4 separate regions of the Mus musculus genome follow, and all the other regions are reported to be linked to region 1. Evidence: microRNA targets listed by miRTarBase, many of them from high-throughput screens and not tested one by one. Region 1 holds a microRNA gene; each other region holds the end of a gene's coding sequence.
The links. The annotated mature microRNA mmu-miR-15a-5p reads UAGCAGCACAUAAUGGUUUGUG and lies in region 1 at 4,966-4,987, shown strand. An mRNA with a match to its seed (bases 2 to 7 or 8) in the 3' UTR can be bound and repressed. Matches are read on the target gene's strand: a 7mer-m8 pairs with bases 2 to 8, a 7mer-A1 pairs with bases 2 to 7 and ends in A, and an 8mer does both.

Region 1 (7,126 bases):
AAACCAAAAAACAACAACAAAAAAACCTTTTCTGGCCTCTATGGGCACTAGGCATGCAAGAAATACACAGACACATACGCAGGCAAAGCACACAAAAACACAAAAGAGATGTGAAGACTAAAAGGAAAATAAAAATAAAACTCAACACTTTAAAAAATGTTAATTTTTAACTAGAAGTAGCTTTTTTTTTTAAAATGTATTTTCAGATGTTGGGAAAATTTGTCCTTTGTGGAGCACTTGGTGACTTTGTAGTGCAGTTGAAGTTACAGTAGACTCTTTATATGTTGTGACATAGTCTCATAAACTACATAGCCATTAAAACAAGAGTTGTATAAATTCTGAATAACTATTCAGCAAATAGAAAACAACCTTTCAAGAAAGTGTATATGTGTAACAGTTATATTTGTACTTATAGTATAAAAACATATAGGACATAAATATCATATCAAGGTTTTAGTTACATTGTAAGAGCCCAATGAGATCAAATCAGAGCTTGGCACATAAGGATCTTTATGTGTAATTGGAAATTTTTTTTAACATTCAGTAGAGTTGGCTTTGGGATAGAGATTTATATAGGCATTATTGGGAAAGGGGATCAGTGTATTTTGAAATAAAAAGAAATGTTGATACTTTGTGAGAAAGTATTTTGCAATAAAATACACACTTGGAATACTCTGGTAAAGGTATAAAAAATTAGAGTATTCTTTCTATGCTATATCTTGTAATAAGTACTTGTATGTAGGTATGCTGGCACATTCCAGTAATCCTAGCACCTAGGAAGATAAATAAGGCAAGAGTACCCCACATTTCAGTGCCAGTCTGGGCTATTAGCAAAGCTGCCTCAAAAGTGCAAGTGCAGTGTCTAATCACATCCCTCAGAAACAAAACACTAACTGACTGAAGTCTCTGGGGTAGTTCAAGGTTGTTTTACAGGATGGGCTGTGAAACATTTCTGCCAGGGTGCAAGGCTCTAAACCCTTTCTCTTACAAGTAAAAGTCAGCCATGGAAACAATTGCAGCAGTGCTAGTTTCACTTATTTTTGGCCTCAGACACCTCTTAGCAATATTTTCTTCTGGTATGTTCTAGATGTTTTATTTCCATATTTTTTGACCCCCTTCAGAGTTATTTATCCTCATGGATAAAAATATGTATGAATGTGTGTGTGTGTGTGTGTGTGTGTGTGTAATACTTTTTTTTTAATGTTAATTTCTAACTAGAAGTAGCTTTTTTTTTTTTTAATGTATTTTCAGATGTTGGGAAATGTTGTCCTTTGTGGAGCACTTGGTAACTTTGTAGTGCAGTTGAAGTTACAGTAGACTCCCCCCTTTATATGTTGTGACATAGTCTCATAAACTAAATATAATTTTTTTAATGTATAGGAATCAGAAAGCAGTGATTGCTGACATCAATTGAAAATGTTGCTTATGTAATAAGATCAAATTTTAAAGTCTTTACTCTTTTTTTTCTAGGTTTAACAATGTTAAAATGAAGATATTACTAAAATGGCCCTCTAAATAGCCCAACAATTATTATTTTGTAAGTATTAGTTTCTAGCTCCTTCCTTCCTCAGTGACCCATCACCACTGCAATGAAGACTTGTGTTTGGTATCATATTTCCATATATCTGATAATTTTTCTATTTATTCTTGAATAACTTAAATTGCCCATTAACACTCTATTCATGTTTGATATTAATTTAGAACAAGAATGATTTCATTGCCTCAGGAAACTTTACTAGTGTGGAAAGTATTTTATAGAAAGTCCCTGCTATCTCCGAGTCTGAAGTCAAAATATTAAATCCTTTCTTTAAAGTTTACAAATAAGCAAAGATTTTTTTTAAGGCTTATACATTTCTTTATTTAATTTGTGAGTTTAACTGCATGTATATATGTGTAAGTGTGTATGGACCTGATATGCAGGAGAGATGGAGACCAAGGTCATCAGTAACAATTGAGTGAAATTCAGGACAGCCCTGCTTATATGATCCCTTGTATGGTCAGGGGGCAGTTGGGGGACGGTAAAATTTAAACAGTTATACCAGGTTCTGAATTTTGGTGGGGTGTATATTCATTTTCTTTGTCTGAGACAGCTTATCTGCCTAGCCTTGAATCTGTATAGTAATCCTTCTACCTCCATCTCTAGAGTGCCAAAATTATAGGCATGTTCCACTCACAACACTTAGCCACCCACCTGGTTTGGGTAGGAATTTAAATTTGCAAATATAACAATCTGATACAATGTGATTTTTTTTTTCACTTTTAAGCATAAATGCACTGGGATAATATCCTCAGAACATTTAGTGTGAATTATTGTTGTCATCTTCTGTTCTGAAATTTGAGCTTTTTAAAGTATGAGTGTTCTGCCTTCGTGTATGTCTGCAGTGCGTGCTGGAGGAAGTGCTTAGGCTCCATGTGGGTGCTGGGAACTGAACCTGGGTCTTTTACAGCAACAAAATGCTCTTAACCACTGAGTAACTCTGCAGCCTTGCAACTTGAATTTCAAAAATTTCCATGTAAAAAATGAGCAAATTGAAATACATATTCAGTTGTCAGTGATCACCATACCTGACTTGGCCTAAACAATCAGTTTAGTTTTCCTTTCATAGCCATTAAATAAAATTTGGGTATGTTGTTGTTGTTGTTGTTGTTGTTGTTGTTGTTGTTGTTGTTGTTAGAACAATTTCTTTTTCAAATATGTTACATAAGCTCATTTTCCTAGAAAAAAATCACATGGAAATGGAATTTTTAACTATTTAGTAGTATGCCCTACAAATGATTCTGTCACTTTTCACATATCAAATTTTAGAACTAGGAATTTAAAATGTTTAGAGAAGAAACAGTTCCAAAGATTTTATAGTGGCATTATTGCCACATCAAAGATATTAACATACCCAGCTTTTAACTTCCCAAATTTGTTGCAGTATTTCATGCCTTTAGCTTTGCTATTTAAGTAGATTTTTTGTGCCCTGAGAATTGTTGCTCTGTCATCAGAACTTAAACCTGGTAGTGTTTTCTCCATGTTCTTAGACAACTTCATAAGATGGCTATGGTTCAGAAGCGTCCTACAAAGGCTTATATGTATGTTAATGGTTCATTTGCAGATAGGGAACCAGAAAGGGTCAGTGTACTAGAATAACAGCCATGGGAGACACTCAAAGGACAGTGTCAGGGTTCGGACCTCAGATTCTGTATTCTGTCATTGTGCTCCAACAAATTACTGGTTGCTTATTATTAAATTCAAAAAGTATCCCATTATTCTGATGCAGTCAAGATGATGATATAGCTTGGGCAACATGCCTATAAATGTTTGTGAAGTGCTAAGCTTTATGGAAACAAGATGAATTAATATTAGAAGTTTTATAAGGTAAAAAGTAAATGTTTCTAAAGAAAAATATTAATGGAAACAAATAGAGTTGAAGGGGGAAATAGGACAATTTGGTTTGATCTATCTTCTTAAATTGTTGTAAAATTCTGTTTTCTTATACGAATAATATTAATTTCAGGTATTTAAAGATTGCCATGTATTCCTATGTACACTCAAGTTACCTTCTTAAGCAAAACATTTTGTTTTCTTTTCAGAATGGCTTTTTTTTCCTTTTAAGAACATTAGTAAAAAGTTGAACTATGTAAAAACCCAACAAAGAAAAATTATTTTGGTCCTTAGGCCAGAATATAAACCACTGAATTTGGAACGGGGCATGATGGTGCACGCCTTTAATCCTAGCATGCAGGAGGGAAACCAGGCAGATAGATCTCTGAGTTCCAGTCCAGCCTGGTCTATAGAATGAATTGCAGGACAGCAGCCACTGTCCTCAAAACCTCTCTCAAAAAACCACTGAATTTGAAATTATAATCATTGTATAAAGATAAAGGACAAAATCACTTTTAGCAGCTTTTATCTTTATTTTCAGACTTTTTTTTTTTAAGCTGGCACACTTGAAAGCAAAGGTTTGAAGATTTAAAGACGTTTTGATATTTCAAATGACCCAACATGAACGGGAATGGAGAAATGGCATTGACCCACTAGAAAACATTTGCTACACAGTAATCTAGTTTGAATGGAAAATCTGGTATGAACTGGAATAATAAGAACAGTTCTTTGTGAAGGGATGGCTAAGTCCCCCACTAAACAGAAAAGAGTCTTCTTAATAGTGTAAGAAAACCTAGATATTCACACACACATAAAATGAAGTTGGAACTTAACGTAGTAAAAATTTTGTTTCAGCTAAGTCAAAGTCCTGTGGTATAAAATGATACTCCTTTAAAGGACTAGCCTTTTTAACTGGGAAACACACAAATGGTTACTTAGGCTTGAGCTACAGGATTTCTGATATATCCTTTTAGGAAACCAAATAGACCTGTTATCCTAAGATGATGTTCTGGGTAATAATAAATGACACTGAACTCACAATAACTATTCCAATATTGAGATAAATCTTGTGTTCATGTGTAGATTGGGGGTTATATATTTTTGGGGAATATGTTTCATGTGTATGTCTTCTAAATATTTTGCTAGTATAAATTTCTTGAAACTGAGCTCTTACATGTTTGTTCTTACATGTTTCCTTTAACATGAAGCTTTGTCCTATGGATTTGGCTTTGAAAGATGTGCTGCTCTTAATAAGGTAAAAACCAACTTTTGTAGCTATTTCATGTGTTAAGCACATTCAAAAGTTGTTAGTTTAATAAATGAGGTTCTTAAGTTGGTATGGGAAAATGACTTGCTTTTCTCGTTTCATGACTACAATAAATTACAGCACTGTATTAAGTTTTCTGTACGCTTTTATTAAACTTATGATATGGAAATACTTTTTATTCTGCTGAAAGCCTATAAAATTATGCACATACCAGTGTTAGATTTTTTTCAAACATAGATTTTATGTGTTCTACTTTTTCCTAAAAAGCCTTTTCTGTAAATTACTATTGAGGTGCTAGGAGTTTTCAAAACCAACCCTTGGAGTAAAGTAGCAGCACATAATGGTTTGTGGATGTTGAAAAGGTGCAGGCCATACTGTGCTGCCTCAAAATACAAGGACCTGATCTTCTGAAGAGAGTACCTGTCTTTTTATTCATAGCTCCTATGATAGCAATGTCAGCGGTGCCTTAGCAGCACGTAAATATTGGCGTTAAGATTCTGAAATTACCTCCAGTATTGACTGTGCTGCTGAAGTAAGGTTGGCAATACTCTACAACTGTAATTCAATGTGTATTGATGTTACTTGTGTGTTTACACGGTTTTTCTAATTGCATTAGTGATTTTATGTTTGGTATGATTCTGTAATGATGTTAGTAACAACGCTCTACATATTGTGTCTGTTAAAATACTATATAATTGTGGGATGGTAATGCAGCTCAGTTGGCCAAGTGCTTCTTGCTAGCATGCACAAGGCCATGGGTTTTAGCCTTACCACTGCATACCAGGTACACTTGTAATCCTAGATCTGAGGAAGTGGAAAAAAGAGAATTAGAGGCTTAACATCATCCTTGGCCATAAAGCAAGTCTAAGACCTATGTAAGGATCTGTCTTTTAAAAACAAACAAAACATAATGACTTCTGTGTGAGGAACTGATTATAGGACTTCTAGATACCCAGATTTGTAAATGCTTGGATCTCCTGTATAAAATGTCTGCTCGTGACCAGTGCATATCCTCCCTTATACTTATTTAAACTTATCTCTACATTGTTTTTAATGTGTAGTGCAGTGGGATGTTAACATGGATAGTTGTATTATTCAAGTTATTCTCTTAATGATGAGAAAAAAACTGTACAATTCAGTACTAATGCAGTTTTTGTCCAAGAAATAAGTTTTTTGGTTTGGTCTTTTGAGCCTGGGTCTCACCATGTAGACCAGGCTGCCATGAAACTCACTGAGATCCTCTTGCCTCCGCCTCCCAAATTCTTTGTTTAAAACTGTAGGCCCCAATGCCTGGCCACCCAAATGTTTTGAATGTGTGGTTGGTTGGATCCACAGATGGAGCACTGACTAATAATATAACAAGTATTTTTAAGTCTTGAACACCTTTCCAGAGTTTCTTGAGAGCTACAGTGGTACAGAATATACCCAGTACCACCAAGGCTCGAGCTCTCTTTCCAGCATTTCCATATAAAAGTTTATTTGAAAGAGTTTAGGAAGTACCAAATTGTACATGAATTTAAACTCATATTATTACTTATAATAGAAAAATACTTTTCTCTTGATTTGAAGTTTTCTTTAGATACAGATAAAGTTTGAAATGCTACAGATTATAACATAATCTTGAGTATAATGTGCCTAAATATTTCATTTTAAATGAAGGAGAATAACACTAAAATGTGTACGTTGAATTTTTAAACTTAAATTTAGAAGAATCCTTAGAATAGCTGACCTTTTTATTGGTTAACTGAGGAAACAATCTGAAATTTAATTTGCAACCTATGACATATTAGGGTATAAATCCTATATCTTCTAACTTAATAATTACTGTTTTTCTTATTTTTCACTAAAATGTTTAACAGGAGATTTTTATAAGTCAAAAGTATGAAAGACATCTCATCTGTGCCTTAATATTTAACTTCAGATTAAAGCTAACAGTCATTAATTTTATAAATATATTCAGAATATTTTAATTATTTCAAAGGAAATGTTCTTTTTTTTTTTTTTTTTTTTTAAAGATTTATTTATTGATTATATGTAAGTACACTGTAGCTGTCTTCAGACATTCTAGAAGAGGGAGTCAGATCTCGTTACGGATGGTTGTGAGCCACCATGTGGTTGCTGGGAATTGAACTCCGGACCTTCGGAAGAGCAGTCGGGTGCTCTTACCCACTGAGCCATCTCACCAGCCCGGAAATGTTCTTTTAACTATCCCATGTGCTTTATTTTAAATGTTTTACGTCATTATTTTAAAATGTTCAAGAAAACACATTATCTCACAATAATGTCCTCTAACTCTGTCATTACTTTTTACAAGGAGTCTCTTACCTTTTCAGATTAAAGGTTCATAATTAATTCTACCGTGTGTTGTGGAGATCCTAAAAGTATTTCAGTTATTTTTTAAGGAATTGTCCTCAAAAGAACCACTACTCAATTCTAATTTAAAGGTAAAATTAAGTAAGTTTTAACAAGTTGATTTAATTAACTATAGA
Region 2 (7,126 bases), not on the chromosome of region 1:
GAACCGATATATTTATACTTACTAATGAATTCATTATGAATTAAAATTCTTTATAGTCCTATTAAGATTTGCTATTAAATTAATACATTGGTTTTTACTAAAGCCTACAACATAATTAAGTGAGTAACTGTTAGTTGAAGGTTGTGGCAACTAGAACGTAAACATAAGTTGGGCATGTAAAATAAAATAGACATTTTTGTAAGGCAAGGTTCAGGACAAAGATAATACCTTACAGTTATTATTGATCATATGGCTACATCAGAAGATGTTCTTTGAAATATATGCTGGGTATACTCAGCAATAGGTGTGAACTAGACAGAAAATAAAACAAAACAAATTAATTTGAAGGTAGTAAATTCAGTGATTTCTTTTCCAAACAAATGTCACTTTCTAAGAGATATATTTGTGCATGTTTGTATATTCACAAACAGATGGAGGTCAGAGGACTCTGTGATTCTTGATTTCAATCATTCAGTTTCTAAAGATGCAACTCGTCTTGTCATTCTTGGCAGATAGCATCCTTACATATTGGGCCATTTGCCTCCTTACAAATACCCTTACAAAGGCCCATATGCTATGATATTTCAATGGCTAACCAGTAAGAACATTTGACATCCAATACTTGAAACTTTGACTGTAACTGTCTTTGTTTTGAATTTTTTATACATGTCCAGGACTTAATCATTCCATTTGTTTCTCTTTCTCTCTTCTTCTTCTTTATTTTCAGGTCTGGTATATGGACAGTTATACCAACAATAAAATAGTTCGTGAATACAAGTCCATTGCAGACTTTGTGAGTGGAGCTGAATCAAGGACATACAACCTCCCTTTCAAGTGGGCAGGAACTAACCATGTTGTCTACAATGGCTCTCTCTATTTTAACAAATATCAGAGTAATATCATCATCAAGTACAGCTTTGACTTAGGGAGAGTGCTAGCCCAAAGAAGCCTGGAGTACGCTGGTTTTCACAATGTGTACCCCTATACATGGGGTGGATTCTCTGACATTGACCTAATGGCTGATGAAATTGGTCTGTGGGCTGTATATGCAACTAACCAGAATGCAGGCAATATTGTCATCAGCCAGCTTAATCAAGATACCTTGGAGGTGATGAAAAGCTGGAGCACTGGCTATCCCAAGAGAAGTGCAGGGGAATCCTTCATGATCTGTGGGACTCTGTACGTCACCAATTCCCACTTAACAGGAGCCAAAGTGTATTATTCCTATTCCACAAAAACTTCCACATATGAGTACACGGACATCCCCTTCCATAACCAATACTTTCACATATCTATGCTTGACTACAATGCAAGAGATAGAGCTCTTTATGCCTGGAACAATGGCCACCAGGTCCTGTTCAATGTTACCCTGTTCCACATCATTAAGACTGAAGATGACACATAGGCAAATGTCATGTTTTCATCTCTCTACTCTGTCATTTATGATAAACTTTATAGGACCCTGTGTTTATCTTTTTTTCTCCTTGATTGGCTTGTCATCATTTCTCCAAAGCAAAGGATTTTATTGTATATTTGGAGTTTCAAAAAGTGTTTGTCTAAGTTAGTGTGTTGGAAATACATCTTAAATCCCAAATTTACAGGGCCTATCATGCCCTTCTCATGAAAAGCACTAAAAAGAGTTTAAGTGGCCAGAATCATAGTTTTGCAAAAGATTAATGATCTGCCTTGTATTAGAATCAGATTAACGGTGGCTTAAATGCATGAATGTCTTCTCTTTTTAACTGTCATTATTTTTACTGTCTCTTGGTCTACATCAAGAAATATTTTCATAGAAATTAAGGTAAAAGAAAAGCACTTTCCCCCCATTTATTTCTACAAGAAGATTTAAAGATTTTATTTATATGGGAAACACTATCAATCATGTTACTCTTACCATATTCTCTGATGCGGTGCTGTGCAGTCATTTCTAAATCTCTTGCTCACATTTTCCTGGCAATACATATTTCTACCAGTGTAACCACCATCATATATTGTATTCCTTCACTTCTGTGAAAGTCATATTTTTTATAAAGTGCACTAAAATTTAATCTCAGTAATTACTCAAGTCAGTTCTCAAGTCTGGTTGAGAAAGATCATCTTGGCTTGCCCCTTCTCATAAGCACTACAAAAATTTTTTAAAAAAGTATTAGATAATATATATACAACCTTTGTTTTATCCAGCACTCTACCATTGGCTCTGGATTTGAACACCAATTCAATGTAGTGATACCCTGTTTCTTAAAAGAATTCATATAATTCTTTGTAAAATGTGTCACTGTGTTATACTCAATATGATTCTATTCACTTATCATTATTAGTATTAGTAGCATACATATATATTAATATTTTAACATATCTTACATACAACTTTCAAAAATGTCATTTCTTATACAATATGAAGCACATGAAGATTATTAAAAAGAGGAAATTTATTCAATGCTTTCTATATTAAAATTATAAACCCTGGAGAGTTATTGGAAAGCTTGTATAAAAGAAAACTATGAAAAGAATTGGGAGTTATTTTTGTTTCAAGTGTATAAATAACCAATTCAGAAAATTAAATGAGAATTCAATCCCCTGAGAACTTGTCTCACTGTGTGCGCAAAATTAAAGAAACTGAAAGTAAAAACTTTGATAACATTTGTGTTACTAATTCCACAGAAATTATAATCAACAACTTATGAACATGTCAATGAGGTTAGAAGTAATTTCCCTATGTTAAAAAGAATTCCACTAAGGCACCTTTATGGAAACTAAATTTTTAAAAATATATTCTAAAATGAATGACATAACTTAAATTGCAATTTTTGTCTCATATGCATACAAAATACCACAATTTTAAAATAAGCAGATGATAATGCAGACACAGCACTCTATAAAAAGACACTGATATTTAGAGTATTTCATTTTAAGTTCTACAAGTGAAGGGTCATTCTCAACTACCATCCTATCAAACTGGAGAATCTAGTTACTATAATCTTGAAATTCAAGAATGAATGAGCAGGTATTTTGTTTTTTGGGTTTTGTTGTTGTTGATCTTATTTTGTTTTGTTTTGTTTTTTTGTCAACAAAAGTTAAGCATGATCTAATGGGAACACTGCATCTTTTTATAATGATGTTTTCTTCTCTTACCAAAAGTTCATGTAAGCTCTAGGCTACAAGTGAGAGTTAGAAAATTTAGAAGATTCATTTGTCATACTACACATATCACAAAAGCAAGCAGTTCATACTTCGTATAACAATTTGTATAAGGTTAAAAAATCATGTCAGTTTTAGAAATGAATCAATCTTTAGGTAGGCAAACTCTAATAGGAACACTTCTTGTTTTTAAGACATGCTATGTGGTATCACATACATTCAAAATATGGATGATCATGGCTTTTTTGTGAGGTGTGCGCCTTGTACAGAGCCCTGTTGTTTTATATGTATGGTTTCATTGCCCTATCTATTTATAGTGTATGTGCTGCTAGAGAAGCTAAGATTTTATTGTCACTAGAAGTGGGGTAACATGAGCTTTAAAAATATGACTTGCATTAAACACTAACAGTTTATGAGCATTTTCCTTAATAAATTATGTTCAGTTTTGTGCCTGAAATAAATAAGAATTTAATCACTGTTTCCTTTTTAATTTCCAGCAAATAAAGTAATTTTATGAGGAAAATAATGAGTATCTTAAAATCATCCATAGAATCTAAGGAGTGCAGAAGTCTATTCTCAGAAAACCACCATCCTAAGTAAACTATGTAACTGGTATTTTCTAGATTAATCAGATCATTAAAATACTTCCATGTCATTCAAATAGTATGCTTGCGGTTGGGTTGTGTTGGTGTGTAATTCATTTTTGTGGAACTTAAGTCACAAGACTTATTACTTGTATCTAAACTTAAATCTACAGGTTCAGAAAATGGCAATCTTCCAGTGCATTAACATTTTGTAGAAATAAAAGAGAAAGAAAGAACAAACACTGTGTATGCACAGAGAGTGAGTGATTAGTCATGCATTATCATAAATCTAGACGCCCAGATTGCTACCTTCATTGCAGTTTCATTTCTTTATAATTGACAGCACTCTCAGTGATGAAAACTTCAGAAATATATTAACTTCTTATTGATGTTTATTACAATTAGAAAAACACAGCCATCTCTTCATGTTTGAAAGTCACTGCCAAATTTCTGAGTAGAACTTTTACAATCAGAGTGATTGCTACTGAAATATAACCATATAACATTAAAAATGTATTACCATGAAAATAAAGTTTTATTATAAAAAGTAATATTTTTATTATAAAAATACTCCTTTGTAAATGAATTTTACATATACTAGTTCTGAAGTTTGAATTTTCTAAAAGAAAACTTTTGATTTTAAGACATCACTAACTCTTAGTTCTCAGATCACCAACTTTTTGTTTTGTAAATTTTATATAAGAATACATTTGGGAGAAAAATAAAAAATATATCTTCAAGTTAAAGCAACTATGAAAAATATAGCCATTGCAGTTTTAAAAGGCCAAGTCTTACAGAAATAAGATACTTTAAAAAGAAGAATCAAAAATGTCATGTTGCTAAAGAAGTATAATCATATCCTTTATCACACCTACAAATTGAGTTTCTATGACATTATCAAACAACACTAAGTGTTAATGTCAACTTCTCCATCATCTCAAACATAGACCATAAGAAATGCTATATAGCAGCTGACCCAGGTTGTTAAATTAGGGAAGGCTGAAAGAAGCTGAGAAGGGCAATTCTGTAGGAGAACCAGCAGTCTTAATTAATTTGGACCCCCACAGTCTTTCAAACATTGGCCCACCAAACAGACAGCATACACAAGCTGATATGAGGTCCCTAACACACACACAGTAGAGGACTTCCAGGTCTGTGGTCATTCAGTGATGAAGCATGTAACCCATAAGAGACTGGAGGCCCCAGGGAGTTTAGAAGTAAGGTGGGGTGGGTGGTGGGGGCATCCAATTGGAGATGAGGTGGGGTAGGGAGAAGGTATGGTTGTGGAGAAGTTGGAGGGTGGATGGGTAGGGGTGGGGAAGGGAATATGGAGTGTAAAAAATGAATTACAAATAAAATTAAGTTAAAAAAATGCAATATAGTAAATTATTTTAGGTAGGACCACAAATGGGGCACATGAATTAAGTACAGATACTATGAAACTCAATTTTTGATCTCTTATAGCTATAAATGGTAACATAAGAAACACAGATTCAGCCAAGTGAATTGACACATACCTTTAATCTTAGTACTCAGGAGGCAGAGACAGGAAGATCTCTGATTTGAGCCTTCCCTGGTCTACGTCTACATAGTGAATTCTAGGACAGCCAGAACGATATAGTGTGACCCTGTCTCAGCATAGGAAGGAAGGAAGGAAGGAAGGAAGGAAGGAAGGAAGGAAGGAAGGAAGGAAGGAAGATAGAAAGAAAGAGAGGGGCAGGGGGAGAGGGAGGGGGAGGGAGGGAGGGAGGGAGGGGGAAGGAAGGAAGAGAAAAATAAAAACCACTTATTTTTAATTCAATAAACTGTATCTTTACTGAAATCATGATCATGTTATGTTTTTGTTTTATTGAATTCTACTTAATTTACCACAAAATAGTGAGCCAATATATTCTCATTAACATGGTCTACAGAGAATATTTGGGATTGAATAAACTATGACCTTTTCAATGGTTTAAAATATACTTGAAAATATAAATGTTTAGCGACTAGAGATGGATCAACAGTTAAAAGCACTTACTGCTTTTCCAAAGAACCTAGTTCTATGTATAAAGTTTCACAACTCACAAAACCTAGAGCTAGCTTCAAACAATCTAGCATCTTTGGCATCCATGGGAACCTGAACTCAAATGCACATAAACACACATTTATAGACACATGATTATTTTAAAGTCAGATTCTAGAAAAAAAAAGTCATTATAACCTTTATATTATTTTTCTAGAGAACTGTAATTTTTTTATATTCCTTTTTTTATTTATTTACACTCCAAATTTTATTCCCCTCCTGGTTCACCCTCCTACTGATCCACAATCACTACCACCTCCCTGTGCCCCTGGCTCCAGAAGTATTTTCCCACCCCCCACCCCACCAGAACTCTAAACTCCCTAGGTCTGCAGTTTCTTGAGGGTTAGGTGCATCTTCTCTGATTAAACTCAGACTCAGCAGTCCCCTGCTGTATATGTGTTGGGGGCCTCATATCAGCTGCTGTATGTTGTCTTGTGGGTGGTCCAGTGTCTGAGAGATCTCAGGGGTCCAGGTTAATTGAGACTGCTGGTCCTCCTACAGGGTTGCCCTCCTCCTCAGCTTCTTCCAGCTTTCCCTAATTCAACCATGGGGATTAGCAGCTTCTGTCCATTGGTTGGGTACAAATTTCTGCATCTGACTCTTTCAGATGCTTCTTGGGTCTTTTGAAGGACAGCCAAGATAGGTCCCTTTTAGTGAGCGCTCCATATCCTCAGTAATCTTGTCAGGCCTTGGGGCCTCCCCTTGAGCTGGATCCTACTTTGGGCCTGTTTCTAGACCTTCTTTCCTCAGGTTCTCCATTTCCATTCCTGCACTTCTTTCAGACAGAAACAATTATGAGTTTTGACTTGTGGGATGGGAACCCCATCCTTTAATGGATACCCTGTCTTTCTGCTGGAGGTGGGCTTTTCAAGTTCCCTCTACCCACTGTAGGGCATGTCATCTAAGGTCCCTCCCTTTGAGTCCTGAGAGTCTCTCACCTCCCATGTCTCTGTACATTCTGGAGGGTCCCCTAAACATCCTACTTTTCAAAGTTGACTGTTTTCATTCTTTCTGCTGGCCCTCAGGACTTCAATCCTTTCCCCTCACACAACACCAGATCATGTTTCCCTCTCCCCCGCCACACACACCTGTCCCCCTTCTCTCCCAGTTCCTTCCCTTCCCCCTTGTGATTTCTTTCTTCTCCCTCCCAAGTGGGACTGAGGCATCCTGACTTGGGTCTTTCAGTATGGTGTCCCATTTGAGTTCTGTAGACTATATCTTATGTTATCTTATATCTGTTTTGTTGTTGTTGTTTTACTTTGTTTTTGTCTAATATCCACTTATTAATGAGTACATATCATGCATGTCCTTTTGGGTCTGAGTTACCTCACTCAGGATG
Region 3 (7,126 bases), not on the chromosome of region 1:
TCTCACATTCACAGCAACTTCAAAGATACTATTATTTAAAAACAACATGAGACCTACAAGGCTCTCTTCTAGTATAGTACTATTCTTCTAATGTAATTAGGTTCAGAGAACATGTGTGTTTGTTCTGTCTGCATGAATGTGTGGGTACCCGTGCATTGGGCCAGAAGCATTGGGTCCCCTGGAGCTAGAGTTAAAGGCAGTTTTGAGTCTCTTGATATGGGTGCTAGGAACTGAACTTGGTCCTGAAAGAACAGTAAACAATCCTAATTCCTGAGGCATCTCTCCAGTTGTATATTCAGCTATTTAAGCTCTCCAGATAATTCTGATGTTAGTCAGAGTTGCTAGTGCTGTAGCTATAAAATTATGTTATCAGCCCCCATAAAGTACCTAGTGTGGGCTCCTATGGTGAAACATTACTCAGTTTTCTTTAAGACGTGTAAATGGAAAGATAGTCTTTTGAACTAAAAAAAAATTTTTTTTTTTTTTGGTTATTTGAGACAGGGTTTCTCTGTATAACCCTGGCTGACCTGGAACTCACTTTGTAGACCAGGTTGGCCTCGAACTCAAAAATCCGCCTGCCTCTGCCTCCCGAGTGCTGGGATCAAAGGCGTGCGCCACCACGCCCGGCTTGAACTAAAAATGAACGTGGTGTCTTAGTAACTACATTATTTTACTGTGTTTCAGTGAGTTAACTTTATTCATGTTTGTTGGGTTTTCATTGTGTAACGAAATATTAGGTACAGGCTGGACATGTGGTTCAATATTAAAGGACCTGCCTACGTTCTATTCCCAGCATGCAGAAAACTTAAACCTTTTATTAATTTCATACATTTTTTCCTTTTGTTTTTCTTTTTCACACAGGCCAATCAGTTGGAGGAGCTTTTTCCAGTGCAAAGACAGCTATGTCTTCATGGCTATCTACTTTCACCACATCCACCCCTCAGAGTCTTCCTGAGCCACCCAATGGGAAGCCCTGAGTCCAGCAGAGCAGCAGAAGCTGCTTGGTTTTCTGCGGTGTAATGCTCCCTCCCCGTCTGCTGCTCCCAGGGTTTCTTCTTCTATCCAAAGGTCCATACCCAGGGACCAAGATGATAAACTGTTTACATGGACGGTTGCACTCTATCTAAATGAAAGTTGCAGTATGCTGAATGGATGAAATTACAACCGTAGCGGAATAGCTTTCCAGGTTGGGGGTTAAATCGACTACTTTTACTTCATTCTGAGCCTAATTAATGTACACAATGAACGTTGTAGTGAATTTTAAGTTCTGAGACTGTACATTTGTTTACTTAGAAGAATTTTTACATATGTATATTTTGTTCTATTTTGCTGTTTAAATATTTAGATGGCCATTGTAATTTATATTGACTAAAATTAAGTTATATTACTATTTCACTATCTCTGAAGTTAGCCCTAAAATGTATTTGTAATGGGTAGGGACTATGCATTCCAGTCTGAGTTCTCTAGGGTGGACTTCTATGGGAGGGTTGGAGGAAACCTTCTACCCACTTAAACATACTTACCAGCTCACTTCTTCCCAGAGCTGTGAAAGTAAGAACGGAAAGCTGAGGATAAGATGTCATTTTTTATGAATGTCTTCTTGTCACAGTTGGTGTGAAGCAGCAAAGATGCCCCTGTGCTTCTCCTATTGGCAGTGCTGTGCAAGGAAGCAGCAGTGGTGACTGAGCCGCACTGAAGGGCTGCCGCATGTCTGGAGGGCAGTACTTTGACAACCCACATGCTAGCTCGATCAACTCCAGTTATGTTGCTGTCTTAATCAGCACTTTGTTATCAAAATTATGTGCCTTGTTTCTTGTGAATGGTTGTCTGTTGGATCTGGATAGATCCACAGGCCTTCTCTTAGTCTTGTTCTGCATTGAGCTTTTCAAAGGCACTTGACCTCCCTACTTCCCTGACTGGAAATCTTTAGTCAGGTCTGCTACCTTCTAAAGAAAAACAAAGTGACCAATGAAGGTTAAATATAAACCATGACTTAGTTCACATTTAGAAAAGCAAGAAGTTGGCCAAGGAGATGATTTAGTGAGGAAAAGCGTTTACTGTGCAAGCATGACAACCTGAGTCCAGATCCCTGGAACCCACATAAAAAGCCACATCTGTAATCCCAGTGTCCCTACAATGAGGCGGGAACAGAGTCAGAGTTCCTCAAAACAATGTGGAAAGGAAGAACCAACTCTTGAAAATTGTCCTCTGACCTCCATGTAGGCAATGTGTCGTGCAAATTCTTATATTCACACACACAAAGACACCTCAAATGAAAGAACAGTAAGAAGCAAGAAAATGAATTCGCACCCATGCCAGGAGTCAGTTGTTTGGTAAATCAGTACAGTTGGCTTCATGTTACCACAGGCATGAATTTGCCAGCCTCTCATTTAATTCATGTTGGTCATGTATAGCTGTCATTTGCCTTTCAGGGGATCCTGAATGGGCATTCTCAGGGAGTACTTACAGGAAACAGTCTACCTTTTCAGTAACAGAAGGCATGTAGAATAACCATTATATCTACATATGATTAAAAAAGCATTGGGAAAGTAAGAGGCATTGATTATCTTTCATTTATCCTCTAGGAGGTTCCCTAAGGACTATAAAAAGAAGATAGGGCATAACTCAATATTTTTAAAATTTTGCAAGTTGGATTTTCACACAAAACCACAAAAATATGAACTACTTTAAGTTGGGCATAATAAGTTGAGAGAATCCAGTGACAATAAATTAATTGGTTAATGGGAGAAAACCATTAATTTTCTTTGGCCAGTAAATATTTGAAAAGAGAAGAAACTAAAGCCACACAAAACTGTGAAAGGCACATTAATGTTGTGCTGAGACTATTAAGAATTCCTTGTTAGATACCATTTCATGTGGCTGCAGCATGCTGATATATCCATGGTAGTTGACATTGCTAGGAGCCCTGCCTGGGTTAGCTAATAAGGTAATGATTCATTCTTTAGTTTGTACCAGGTTTATATGACTTGCCGAATTGCCTGCTATTACTTAAACAAAAGCAATGCAGCACTGACTTTGAAATATACTTGGGGACAAAATGTAACTGGTTTTGTTTCACACTCCCCATTTGAGTGTGTATGGTTCCCCTGTGTATGGTCTCACAGTCTTGCCACACAGGTCTCTAAATTGCCAACTTCCTCCCTCTTGTCTCAACTGGGATTATAGGAGCACACTACTGTGCCAGGCTTAAGTGTATATTTTAATTGAACCTTCTCTTAATGTAGTTAAAAACTTAACTCTTAAAATGGTTACTTAACTGGTCAGCCTAAAATAACTTACCTTGGAATATAAAACATCTTGGAATGGTCAAAAGACTATACTCCTACTTCCTTCAGGTTCTTGGAAATGTTGGCTTTTCAAGGGCCATAGGCCATTTTGTTGCTGGGGGCATCACCTAATGCAGCAGCCTGTGTCATGGAGAACAGGAGATACAGCCAGTGAGCCCAGACACGTGAAGTCTGTATTTTAGGCTCCAGTGAGCTAGACTAACTCGGAAGAGTAGTCTCCCTCCAGTGCTGGCATGGTAGTCCTTTAGTCAACACCTGGCCTTTTGACTATTGCCAGGAGATGTGGCTATTGGAAACCATGCTTTCTCCAGTGATTGCCAGTGCTCTTGTGTCTTAAGAACTGAGTGTTTGTAACTAGACCTGCAGGAGCGAAAGTCAACCAGCATTTTTCAGGTTTCCAGCAGGCAGACATTGACAGTAGCTGCACTGCTGTTGAGGTAGTTTTGATCGTAGTGTAACGACAAAGGCACAGATAAGGAAGAGAATACAAGCTGTGAGTCTGGAGTAGAGTAGAAATTCTGAAGCTGCGTGTAACAGGATGTAGAGCAATTGTATATGTATATCTGATTTATAACCAACATGAATTGTCCACCCCCAAGTCCTTCACTAGCTCTCAAGCCTGAAAACAGTTCTCTCCTTTTGCGGTAAGAAACAGTTGGCTTTCTTGGGCAGCAAAGTAGAGTGCATGACAGGACTTCCTCAGTCTTTCTGCTTTTCACATTTTGTACTAAGCAGTTAACTGATTTTTAGAATAGCTTTCTTTAGAAATTCAAGGAAAGCAAATTAGGAAAACACAAATGAGAAGCTATTACATGGCTGAGAAACAGGGCACTTAAGTCTGAATGGAGAGTATTTTGACATCAGTATTTAACCTACTAAAGGCATGAGTTTAGACAAGTTAGAATTGTAATCTGCTATTGACATTTCTAAGTGAAGCTATAACATTCTTTAGCTGGTAGGCAGGTATTATTGAAGCTGTATATTTTATAGAGAAAATTTTGAGGGAGTTAACAGCCAGTGGCTCTCTTCCTTCCATGTTGATAAATTTAGAAGTCCTGCGGCCAGCATCCTGATTTATACCCACAGGCAGTGTCTGCTGCAGCCTCCACAGAGGGCAGCCTGTTAGGACAGAAGCTGCTGCCTCCTGCCTGTGGTGCTAGCTGCACCAGCCTGTTCATGTGTTGGGGCATTGCTTAGGATCCCTGAAACATTTGCACACTGTGGTTCTTTAAAGAGAAATGGCCCAGCATTCATGGCTTTCCACACCATCTTCTGGTAGCCTTTAACTATGACAGAATGCTCCTTGAATCACTTGAAGATGACCATCATTCCTCATAACCTAATGTGCCGGTTTTCTCATCCAAGTCTTCTGACTTCGTTAGCTTGGAATTCTTTTTCCGTAATTTCCAACATTCCACAAAACTTTTTTTTAGAGAAAAAAGGATCTTGTTTTTATTTTTTCGTACAAAAAACTCCATAAAAATGACTTCCTACCTACATTATGAAGAAGAAACTGGCTGCCTCGTATACTATAACACTCCAAAATGAAAAGATTGTGCATGTCTAAGGGGTTGGATATATTTTGTAAAACTCTAAATACATTTGTATTTCTGTGCTGTTCAGAAATTTACCTTTTTACTTATACTAATTAAAGATGCAGAAAACTATATATTTAAATCATGTATATGGAACGCAATTTAAGGGGTTTCCAATCGTATTTTTCATCAGCTTCCCATGCACATAGTATGCTGCTGAAGTTTCTTTTTTGTGCAATATAAACATTTGAACATTTCAAGTCAGGTACTGAGCCAGAAAAGGTCATTGAAGTTTTCAGAGAACTGCCTAAAGCGTATTTTATTCTGTTGAGATACTGTTATTTTATAGCTGGGAAACCAAGATTGTGCATTACATGTTTCAGTCCACTTGATCATTCCTTTCTAAATTTAGAAAGCATGTGATTAATGACTTGGTGGAGGTACTTAATGATTGGAAAACAGTTTTTAAGGAAGTCAAGCTATAGCTTCTCTTTCCTCCAGTGGCTTTGTAGTTTGTGCCGGTTCATTTCTGTTGTCATTTGTTTTTTAAAAACATATTCAAGTTATAAATCATGTCTAGTCATACTGAACTGTAGAGCTTCTATTGTACATTTATTTTAAGGAAAACCTAATAATAAAATTATCCTGTTTCTCTTGCACACGGGCTATTGATCTCCTAGACTTAACTGCGTGTTGTCTGTGTGATCTCTGGCCTTCACAACTGGGCAACAGTGCATTCTTCATTTGTCAAGAAAGCAGCGCATGGGTGAGCTGAAGGACTACACATCCAGTTTAGCTTCCTCCTGATACTGCTTATCACCATACGCTTTCTAGCTATGACCTCTTCGGAAAGAGCTTTATGTAGCGTCTGGGGAACTCTGAGGAATGCTGCGCAAGTACTAAGGATATTGGTCATGTAATCACTCATGGACAGGGCCAGGGAAGGAGAAAACTGCACTCCCGCCATCCATTTCTCCACTTGGACTGGTAAGGTTCAAAATAATACACTGAGGATTCCAGGTATGTGTGCTGTGCACCATGGCTCCATTACAACTTGTTTATGGAATAAGAAGATAAATGTCCCTTTCCTGGGGTTGTGTGAGTGTGGCCTTTAAGTTGTTTAGCACTAAGGAAGGTGATCTAGATTTAAAAGGATATTTTTTCAGATGACAATACAAGTTAAAATTAAAACCATTCAGGTAGAAAATTATAAACTCCTTAAGATAGAATAGATGTTATAATATTGTAGTAAATTATTCAGATTGTGAATTTCTTTTAAACTTTCCAACCACACACACACACAGACGCACACATGTGTCAAAATAATTATTGTCTGTAATAAACTTCATCAAAACGAGTTCTGGCTTTTTAGTACTCTGAGTATATTTAACTTTAATGCATTAATAATAATAAAAGACTTTTATGCCTTAAAAAAATAATGTACTAAATTGAAAAAATTGATGGACTGGATGTTGTTAGTGTATATCTTACCTTATAATTTACATAACTGTTATAACTGTTCAATGTATGTGAGAGAGAAAAGGCCTTTTTAATAGATGAAAAATGGTGAATTGTTGTAAATTGGTTCTAATGCTAAGTCACGGGGAAAATGCTAATGCTAAAGTCACAGGGAAGCCTAACATCTGCCTGAAAGAGGCTGAGGGTCCCTGCCCCTAGTTGGCTCTAATTGGTAAATAAAGTTGCCTGTGGCCAATGGCTGAGTAGGGAGACAAAGGTGTAGGTGTATAGTCCTATAACCCCAGGCAACGGAACCATGGAAAGAAGGTTTTAGAATTGCTATGACGGGGAATCTGAAAGATCAGGCTTGAGAGCTGAAGAAGTGAGAGCATACAGACATGTAAGAGCATCCCCATTCCTCTTCCCTTTTGAGTCTAGGGTAACAAAGATAGAATTTAGATTTTAGTAAGTAATAATTCAAGAGTATTGGAGGGGAGACGTTAGCATCGAAGTGTGGGAATGGCCCACACTTGATCTGCTTAGGGGCATATTAAAAATATTAAATATTAAAAATGTGTGTCTTTCATTCAAGAATCCACAACATTGGAAAGGTAGTGAGAAGTGCTAACACAACTGCCAGAGATACTGCCACAACAAAACATGATCATTCAACTATAGCACACATGGGTGTATGTGTTCTGCATACTGTTTATCATTTTGGGTTTTACAAATATTTCCCGTGATTCATTCTTCACAATGCCTCAAAAGTAGTTATTTTTTTCTTTTAATTATTTTTAATCATGTGCATATTGAGGGGTGGGTGTT
Region 4 (7,126 bases), not on the chromosome of region 1:
GGGTATGGCAGGAGGCAGCTCTTGCAAGAGCCGGGTGACAACTTAGTGCATTCTGATCAGGAGCAATGCTAAGCTGAAGAGATGACATTTCTATTTTTGTCTTCCATGAGGATATCCTCTAGGGAGGAATAGTGTCTTCCCTCTTTTGAAATGTCTGCTGTTCAGATCGTGGCAGCACATGAGTCTAAGATGCTCATGGAGGAATCTGGGCCTGTTAGCTCACAAGTGTGGAAGTTTGCCATAGCTGATACTGTGGCCACAGGATGCCTCTGCCCCCACACAGCTTTTCTTGGTCTGCAGGATTGGCTGAGAACGTATGTTAGTGGTCAACACTGAATTGTCGGGTGGTGCCATGTCTCCAGTTTGGATCTGGCAACCTGGCCTGATTGTCAAAAGCTGAGTGAGGGTCCTTCCTGTTCGGTAGATGTCAGTTGTCTAGTCCAACACCGTTGTTGGTCCTGACACGCCCTGAACATCTGCAGTCCTTTTCCAGCTGTTCTAAAGTGTCTAAATGCGCACACAGTCTCTGGAAGGAAGCCTCCACGCACAGGTGGAGTAAGTCGCACATAGTTCAAAACCATGTGGCAGTGAAAACCTGCTGGGCACCCGAATGCCATCCATCAGTGGTACTATCCTAGGGGATGGCAATGGCGAGCTAGCTGCAAGCCAGCCCACTCAGGCACTGGGTGCAAGGCTGCACAACCCCCTGTTCCCTCATACAATGCCTTTATAGTTCCCGTCTAACAGACTGTCAGCCGTACATGGAAGATACGGCTAGAAAAGCTAGAATGGCCTCTCAGTAACTGGTACAGTTACCTGGCAGGTACACAGCTGCCCCACCTCAGCTTCTACTCTGAAACTGTCGCATACGTGGCTAACTGGCCTAGCTTTTTGAGTCAATAAACTCTTGGGAAGATGTTTTCTTAACAGCGAGTGGGCTTGTTGATGTGGGACAGCTTAAAATAGCCTTGGCAGTGCTCACACTGTGTATGTGGCTCCCATTTCTTACGTCCCATGGGAATTCTGTCATTTTTCTGCTCACAACCTTCTGTGCCTGTGAGTTTTCCATAGTGAAAAACAAACAAAAGTCAAACGGTCCTGATGAGGAAGTTTCTCAGTTGGCGGTGGTAAGAACAACAAAATCACAAACACTGCTGACCGTTTAAAGGTTCTTTGGGCATATATACTACAGTTTTAGACAGTGCCACCAAATGACGCTTGCTTATAAAATGCAGGCATGTAGTTCTGATAGGTGAAAACTCATAAGAAAACTCATACCACACTAAAGGGATATTTCTTCCTTGGCCTAGAAGCCTATGTGCTAGCATCTTTTCTTGGGTTTAAAATATAGAAGGTGAATCTTCATGTGACATGCCCCCTGCCCCCACAAAGATGCTTTGAATACACACTGGTCATGAGGGAATAGTTGCTGCTTCATTGATTCTCTTGCAAATGACCTTGCTATCTGGTCTCCATTTCTACCCTTGCTCAGAGGGTTAATTGAAAAGATACGCATCAAAACACTTGCTTAAAAGAGGCATAGCCCTTGGATTGAGGGACAGGAACTGTGTGCCATATCTACACTTCCTGCCGGTTAAAATACTGCATTTTAAAAAATAAGCTACAATGTATAAAACCAAGGTCATTTCCCACAAAGTGTTCATGTTCTCTGTGATTACAAAACGCGGTATCTTGTAAAATATTTCCAGTTCTGTTAAACTTGAGAAGTACTAATGCTTATTATAAAAGTGTCATGTCTCTTGCAGAAGCCTAAGCAGTGTATTTCTTTCATTTGGAAATTTAAGTTGTAATTATTATTGTATTTAAGATTACATTTACCATAACACATTACCATTATGATTCTCAGACACACACAACAAGTTATAAAACATGAGATTGTCTTAGGAAAAAAAAGCTACTTACAAAACAGGACAGGAGATAAAATTCCCGTTTTGATTCCTGGTCCTGTGATAGGTACACTCTTTAAAGCATGTGTGTCATTGGAAATGGGCCTTTTCCAAGTCTGTCACCAGAAGCAAGTCTTGAGTACATTTCATATGTCCTTGCTCTGTTGGAGTACAGTTACTCAGGACAACTGGTACCTAAAAGTGCTAACCTCATCTTATTTACTAACTTCCCCTGTGGCTACTTACAATGCAGAAAATACAGGATGAAATCGTAACATGGAGAAATCCCTCCACGTGGGAGGATTGGTGGCACCTGTGTGCTGCTGGTAGGTTTCTTTCTTACAGAAATAGAATTGTCAGTTGACTCATATGCCTAACATGCCCTTCAAAATGACCCACGCTCCCAACGCTGTCATACTGACGGGCCATGCTGGCTCCACTCATCCGCACATATTCACACAGGTCAATGCCACAGCTGATGTGGGTGGTGGAAATCCTACGGACAAGAGCAAAGACAGCACCTTGTCCACCAGAGTCCATGGCAGTGTGCTCCTGAACATGCCACTAAAGCAAACCACACGTCGTGGCCAGCTTTCCCTCCCTTAGAGGATGCTGTGTATAATAAACAGCATCCAGACTGAGGAACTACAACAAGGAACAGCAAGGCTTTTTGTTCCCAATTACATTCAGAGGAAGCCTCACCATGTCTATGGATGCCCAGCAGGCTCTTCACCTGTGGCTCAAACCTCAATCAGCTTTAGGGCAGCTACGAACAGACAGTCCCTCTGCCACACCTCATGGAAGTCGTCTGCCTGTCCAGCTGAACACGGATTTGTTTTGAAATGACACGGAGAGTTACATAAAGAAAAACTTGTTCTGACAAGAAAAGACTTGAGGAGATAAAAATCCTCCTGGTCTCGGGGTTCTCCAGATCTCTTCCCACAGCATCCTTGTCTCCCTGAGGAAATGAGTAGTATTTACAGTATTCTGCTGCTATGCTCAACAGATTCTTGTATGTACAGTTCTCACCTCTTTTCTCAGAACCTTCTCCGGTGAATGCCACCTTTGTCTTGCAGGGCAGCTGAAGTGAGAGATGAAACAGACTCTTTTATAGGGGCTCACTACTCACTTTAAGCCCAGGGCTTCTGGCAAAGTGTGACGTACTTGTTCTTGGATACCAGAGATGGCAGACTCCAAATCTTGTCATCTTCAATTGCAATGGGGAACAATTTGGCTTCAAATAATTTTTCCAACATACATGAAGTCTGAAGGAATTTTTGGAGAGCTCAACAGTAATGCTTTTCTCTAGAGATGATCGTCCTTTATAGCTTGGTCATGGGAGGTTCATAAGGGAGCCTCCTGGACATGGTACTATCAACGTGCACGAGAGGTCCACTCTGGTTTGGAAACCCACTGTCTTCTTCCTGGCGCTAGCTTTTGCTAATCCAGAGAACCTAACTTCCCAGACATAAGGTGGCAGGTGAGCCTGATGGATAGTTCCTGGCCGAAGCAGCTCCTGTCTTGTGTCAGACATCTACAGCAGACATGGAGGAGTCCTAGCTGAGCAGCCCAAGAACATGAGCAGAAGATAGGGGTGTGCAGGTCTCCCGCACTGCCCCCTTGACACATATGCTACCTGGGGGTTTCTCCACGTTATCTCACAGATTTTCACAAAATAAGTGTCCATATTCCAGGAAGGCTAAGGCTGGAAACTATTGCCTGTTGCACACATTGCTTCCTAGCTGGCTGGAGAATGTCCTGCTAGTCACTGTGACATGCTTTTTCCGGGAGAAATGAGAAACCTTTTTCATCATGGAAGAAGAAGAACTAGACATTTCCATGGACAAGAATTCATTACATCACTGCTCCTTTGACAGACAGGGCTGGAAGCCCTGGGGTGCACAGAGCCTCAGGCTAGCAGCCAGCTCACCAACTCTCATGCTTTCTGTTTCTCCACAAAATGAAGACACAAAAAGAACTTAGTTTCATGGACATGGCATGAAATGAAAAGTCAGGCTTCATTTGGCACTTTGTTTGGGTCCCCAAATAACAAAATAACTACTTAAGAAATGTAACTCACACAAAAAGTAACTCATATAATCAGTTAACTGTATGTTGCAATTCAGAGCTTCCGGTCCCTGGCATTACACCCTTCCACACAGGGAATGGGCATGTGTCCAGAGCTGCACTCAGGATTTGCCTGCACCTTGGAAGCCAGATAAGGAAATGTTCAGTGCCTAAGGCTGGCCTGGAGATGAGGGCCCTAGGTGGGCTGGGGATGCACACGAGCTGGCACGATGGAGGTTTCTGAGAAAACGAGGGACTCAGGTCAGGTGCATTTGGTGTCACGATTGTGCTGACAATATGCAGCTAAGCGGGCTCAGACCTGCCCTTAGGCTGTGTTTCTGGGGGCGACAGCTCAGCACCTAAGGACTGCTCTCTCTCACACAGACGACAGCATTCCTTCACCTCCAAGTTCTTCAAGAGAAGGTGGATTGAATTTCACATCACTTTAATGTTTTGATTAAAGTCTTCATCTGAGATTTTAAAAATTAAGGGAGCTTTGCTGAGGAGAAAACCCTCTAGCCTAGGATCCATCTGTTATTTAAGCACATGGTGAACTTGACCAAACAGTTGATGTCTCAATCTCCACGTTGCTCAGGGCCTCTTGGAGCAGCTAGAACACCATTTCAGGGAGTGAGGCTACAGGAGATAAGGAGAGGACATGCCCAGGGGAAAGAAATCTAGCTCTGGACTTTAAAAGCAAAAAGTTGTTTCCTGGTTGCAGGTAAAAGCATCTGGAACAGGTGGTATAGCTGATGTTGGTTATCAACCTACAGGGAAATCAGAGAAAGCTTTCTCTTTTCTCTTGAAGTAAGTGTTTTGTTTTCCTTTTAAGTATCCAAAGGAAAAGATCAGCATCTCTTTCCCGTTTTCCTTGATTTCCGTGGTAAAAAAGCCACATGAATTTAAAAAATAAAATTGCCAAAATACATGAACGCACCAGTTAAGGGTGTTCCGCTGTAGAGCCTCCATATACACCCCTTATATACAAAGAGGTGTCTCAGACGCCTACATGCCTTCTCTACTCTGTAAAAAAGCACTATGTACAATCTTTAAACATATATTAAGTTTTCCTCTGTGCAAGTTCATTTAACATTCATATTGCTGACACCATGTTCCCCATCCCTACCTAGTGGCTCCTATAAGGTGCTCTTACCATGCATAGGTACAGGACACTCCTCTCTTAAGCAGGGCAGACAGAATAAGTCCTTACAAGGCTTGATAGCTGCTCCAAGCTCCACCCTTCCAACAGCCAAGTACATCAGGTTCCAATGGCTGGAACCCAGCCTAAGCCTTGGCCCTACTCAATGGAGAGAGTCCTATACCAAGATGCATCTGCCTTTGGGCATCCTGTAAGTTAGTTTCTGAGCAAATTCTTAATTCATAGTTTCAATATTCCTATAAGACAACAAAGTTTAGCGTTCCATTATCCATATACGTCACCGAGTCCACTAACTCATCCCCTAGCCATCCCCTCGCCATCTAGAAAAGTGCACTCACAATGGAAGTTGGCTTGATGCCCTAGTGGATCTTTCCCACAGCTATGCTCTGCTGGAAGCAAACCTGCAGGCCAGTCTGGAGTTTTCTACCTGGGCGGGGTTGGAGAGCAGAATGCTAACCCAGAGTCCTGGCTATGGTCTTGGCAGAACCAAGCAGGACACACTATCCAGGCTGCAGTGTGTGTGATATCCCTGAAAGCAGCATCAAGGTTTACCAGATTGCTACTAGCGCCAGCTCTCGTCTGAGCCATGGCAGGCAGAGACTTAGTGGTGCCACCACTCACATGGGATCCAAGGACGATTTTCAGATGCTTTCTGCAGTGCCTCTTGGTGTCCTGACCTCAGGTGATGGCTGAGGTGACTCGCACTCACTGTCAATCACTTTTGGCCTTATGTAAGTTACTCAGGGCCTCCAAGCTAACATCTTTACAATGGTTCCACTTGGGGTCCTTCTTGAAAACAAAACAGACATAGAAAAACTCTTTTTTGAAATACATCATGATCAGACTGATCCAAGGAGTCGCACGGAAAAACAGAGAGATGCCTATTCACAAGGTAGGTACTATCCTTTATACAAATGCTACCTCAGACTGTGTAGCTTATGGGTATATTGTGTAGCTTATGGGCATATTGTTTTCAGTGTCAAAAACCCTCGAAAATGCCAGAGTTCAGAAAGCTTATCAAAATGTGCCTTCTCTCTAGGTGAAATGGGCCTGGTTGGCTAAGCTGCTACAGAAGACCAGCTTTAAGACCAGACTGAGAGCTAAGGAAGCGGGCTTTTCCTTCGAAGGAAGGTCCTCCTTGGCGCTCTCGCCTGGTTCTCAGAGCAGTGCAGTGCTGATTTTTTGCTGTGTTTTTGTTTTTGTTTTTGTTTTTGTTTTGCTTTAATTCCACCAAGGAATTATATTCCTGGGATTCCAGGCAGGGCCTTCCCTGGGCCTTGAGTAGCTTCCTTTGGAAGGAGAGGCAGGAATGGCTCAGTCAATGAACCGCTGGCAGGCCTTCTTCCAGCGGCAGGCGGTGCACCACATGTCCCTGTTTTCCATCCCATAAACCTTGCGGCACTTTTTGCCTTCTCCTCTGGGCTTCCTGTAAGAAAGACGGCACACAGACAGCCTTAGGGACAGGAACGGGGCGGCCTTCTGGGGAGAGTTGCAAAGAATAAGGGGGAACAGAAGACAAAAAGCCCAGCATGGAGTAGGACTTCCCGTAGGGCTGGGGACTTCTCTGGCCACTGTGATTACACTGTTTCTAAATCCCATTCATGGAAATGTTTCCTTGGCCATGGTGTAAGCGTAAGGGGTAGACACAAGAGGTGGGGACTGTGGAGGGGGACCTGGGGCAGCCCTGCTCACCAAGCACGAGGAGGACATTTGGAACCTATATGGAGCTTGATGTGATAGCGCGTGCATGCAATTGCCTGTAATCCCAGTGTTTATAGAGCAAGGTGAGAGATGCTGACAGAGATCCCTGCAAGCTCTTGGACCAGCTTGACTGCAGTGGGTGAGTGAGACACCCCACCAAGACAAACCCCACATATGCACCATATGCATCTTCTGTCTCCACCCCCTAGTACCCTGCCTACTACAAAACAAGCAAACACACAAACAACAACAAATATACACAAAACACATAACATCAGAGAACAACAGTGCT

Region 2: miRTarBase lists Olfm3 as a target of mmu-miR-15a-5p. Seed matches in the 3' UTR shown: 8mer at 3,462-3,469.
Region 3: miRTarBase lists Avl9 as a target of mmu-miR-15a-5p. Seed matches in the 3' UTR shown: 7mer-m8 at 1,036-1,042 and 7mer-m8 at 5,055-5,061.
Region 4: the mRNA of Zfp704 is a reported target of mmu-miR-15a-5p. Seed matches in the 3' UTR shown: 7mer-m8 at 5,668-5,674 and 7mer-A1 at 3,823-3,829.

The regions. Positions count from the first base shown.
Region 1 is chr14:61,629,936-61,637,061 of GRCm38, reverse strand. Mir15a (microRNA 15a) reads left to right here and starts at 4,952; the gene lies at 4,952-5,035. It overlaps Dleu2 (deleted in lymphocytic leukemia, 2), which reads left to right. Exons shown (of 7, transcript NR_028264.1): 3 at 1,471-1,537; 4 at 4,579-4,625. Mir16-1 (microRNA 16-1) reads left to right here and starts at 5,090; the gene lies at 5,090-5,182.
Region 2 is chr3:115,121,453-115,128,578 of GRCm38, forward strand. Olfm3 (olfactomedin 3) reads left to right here. Exons shown (of 6, transcript NM_153157.3): 6 at 728-4,312. The coding sequence ends at 1,405. Among named protein-coding and RNA genes, the nearest start is that of Olfm3, 44 kb to the left of the region's middle.
Region 3 is chr6:56,756,411-56,763,536 of GRCm38, forward strand. It overlaps Avl9 (AVL9 cell migration associated), which reads left to right. Exons shown (of 16, transcript NM_030235.1): 16 at 862-5,501. The coding sequence ends at 977. Among named protein-coding and RNA genes, the nearest start is that of Gm10209, 34 kb to the right of the region's middle.
Region 4 is chr3:9,432,340-9,439,465 of GRCm38, forward strand. Zfp704 (zinc finger protein 704) reads right to left here. Exons shown (of 9, transcript NM_133218.2): 9 at 1-6,559. The coding sequence ends at 6,448. It overlaps C030034L19Rik (RIKEN cDNA C030034L19 gene), which reads left to right. Exons shown (of 4, transcript NR_160691.1): 4 at 2,370-4,894. Among named protein-coding and RNA genes, the nearest start is that of C030034L19Rik, 33 kb to the left of the region's middle.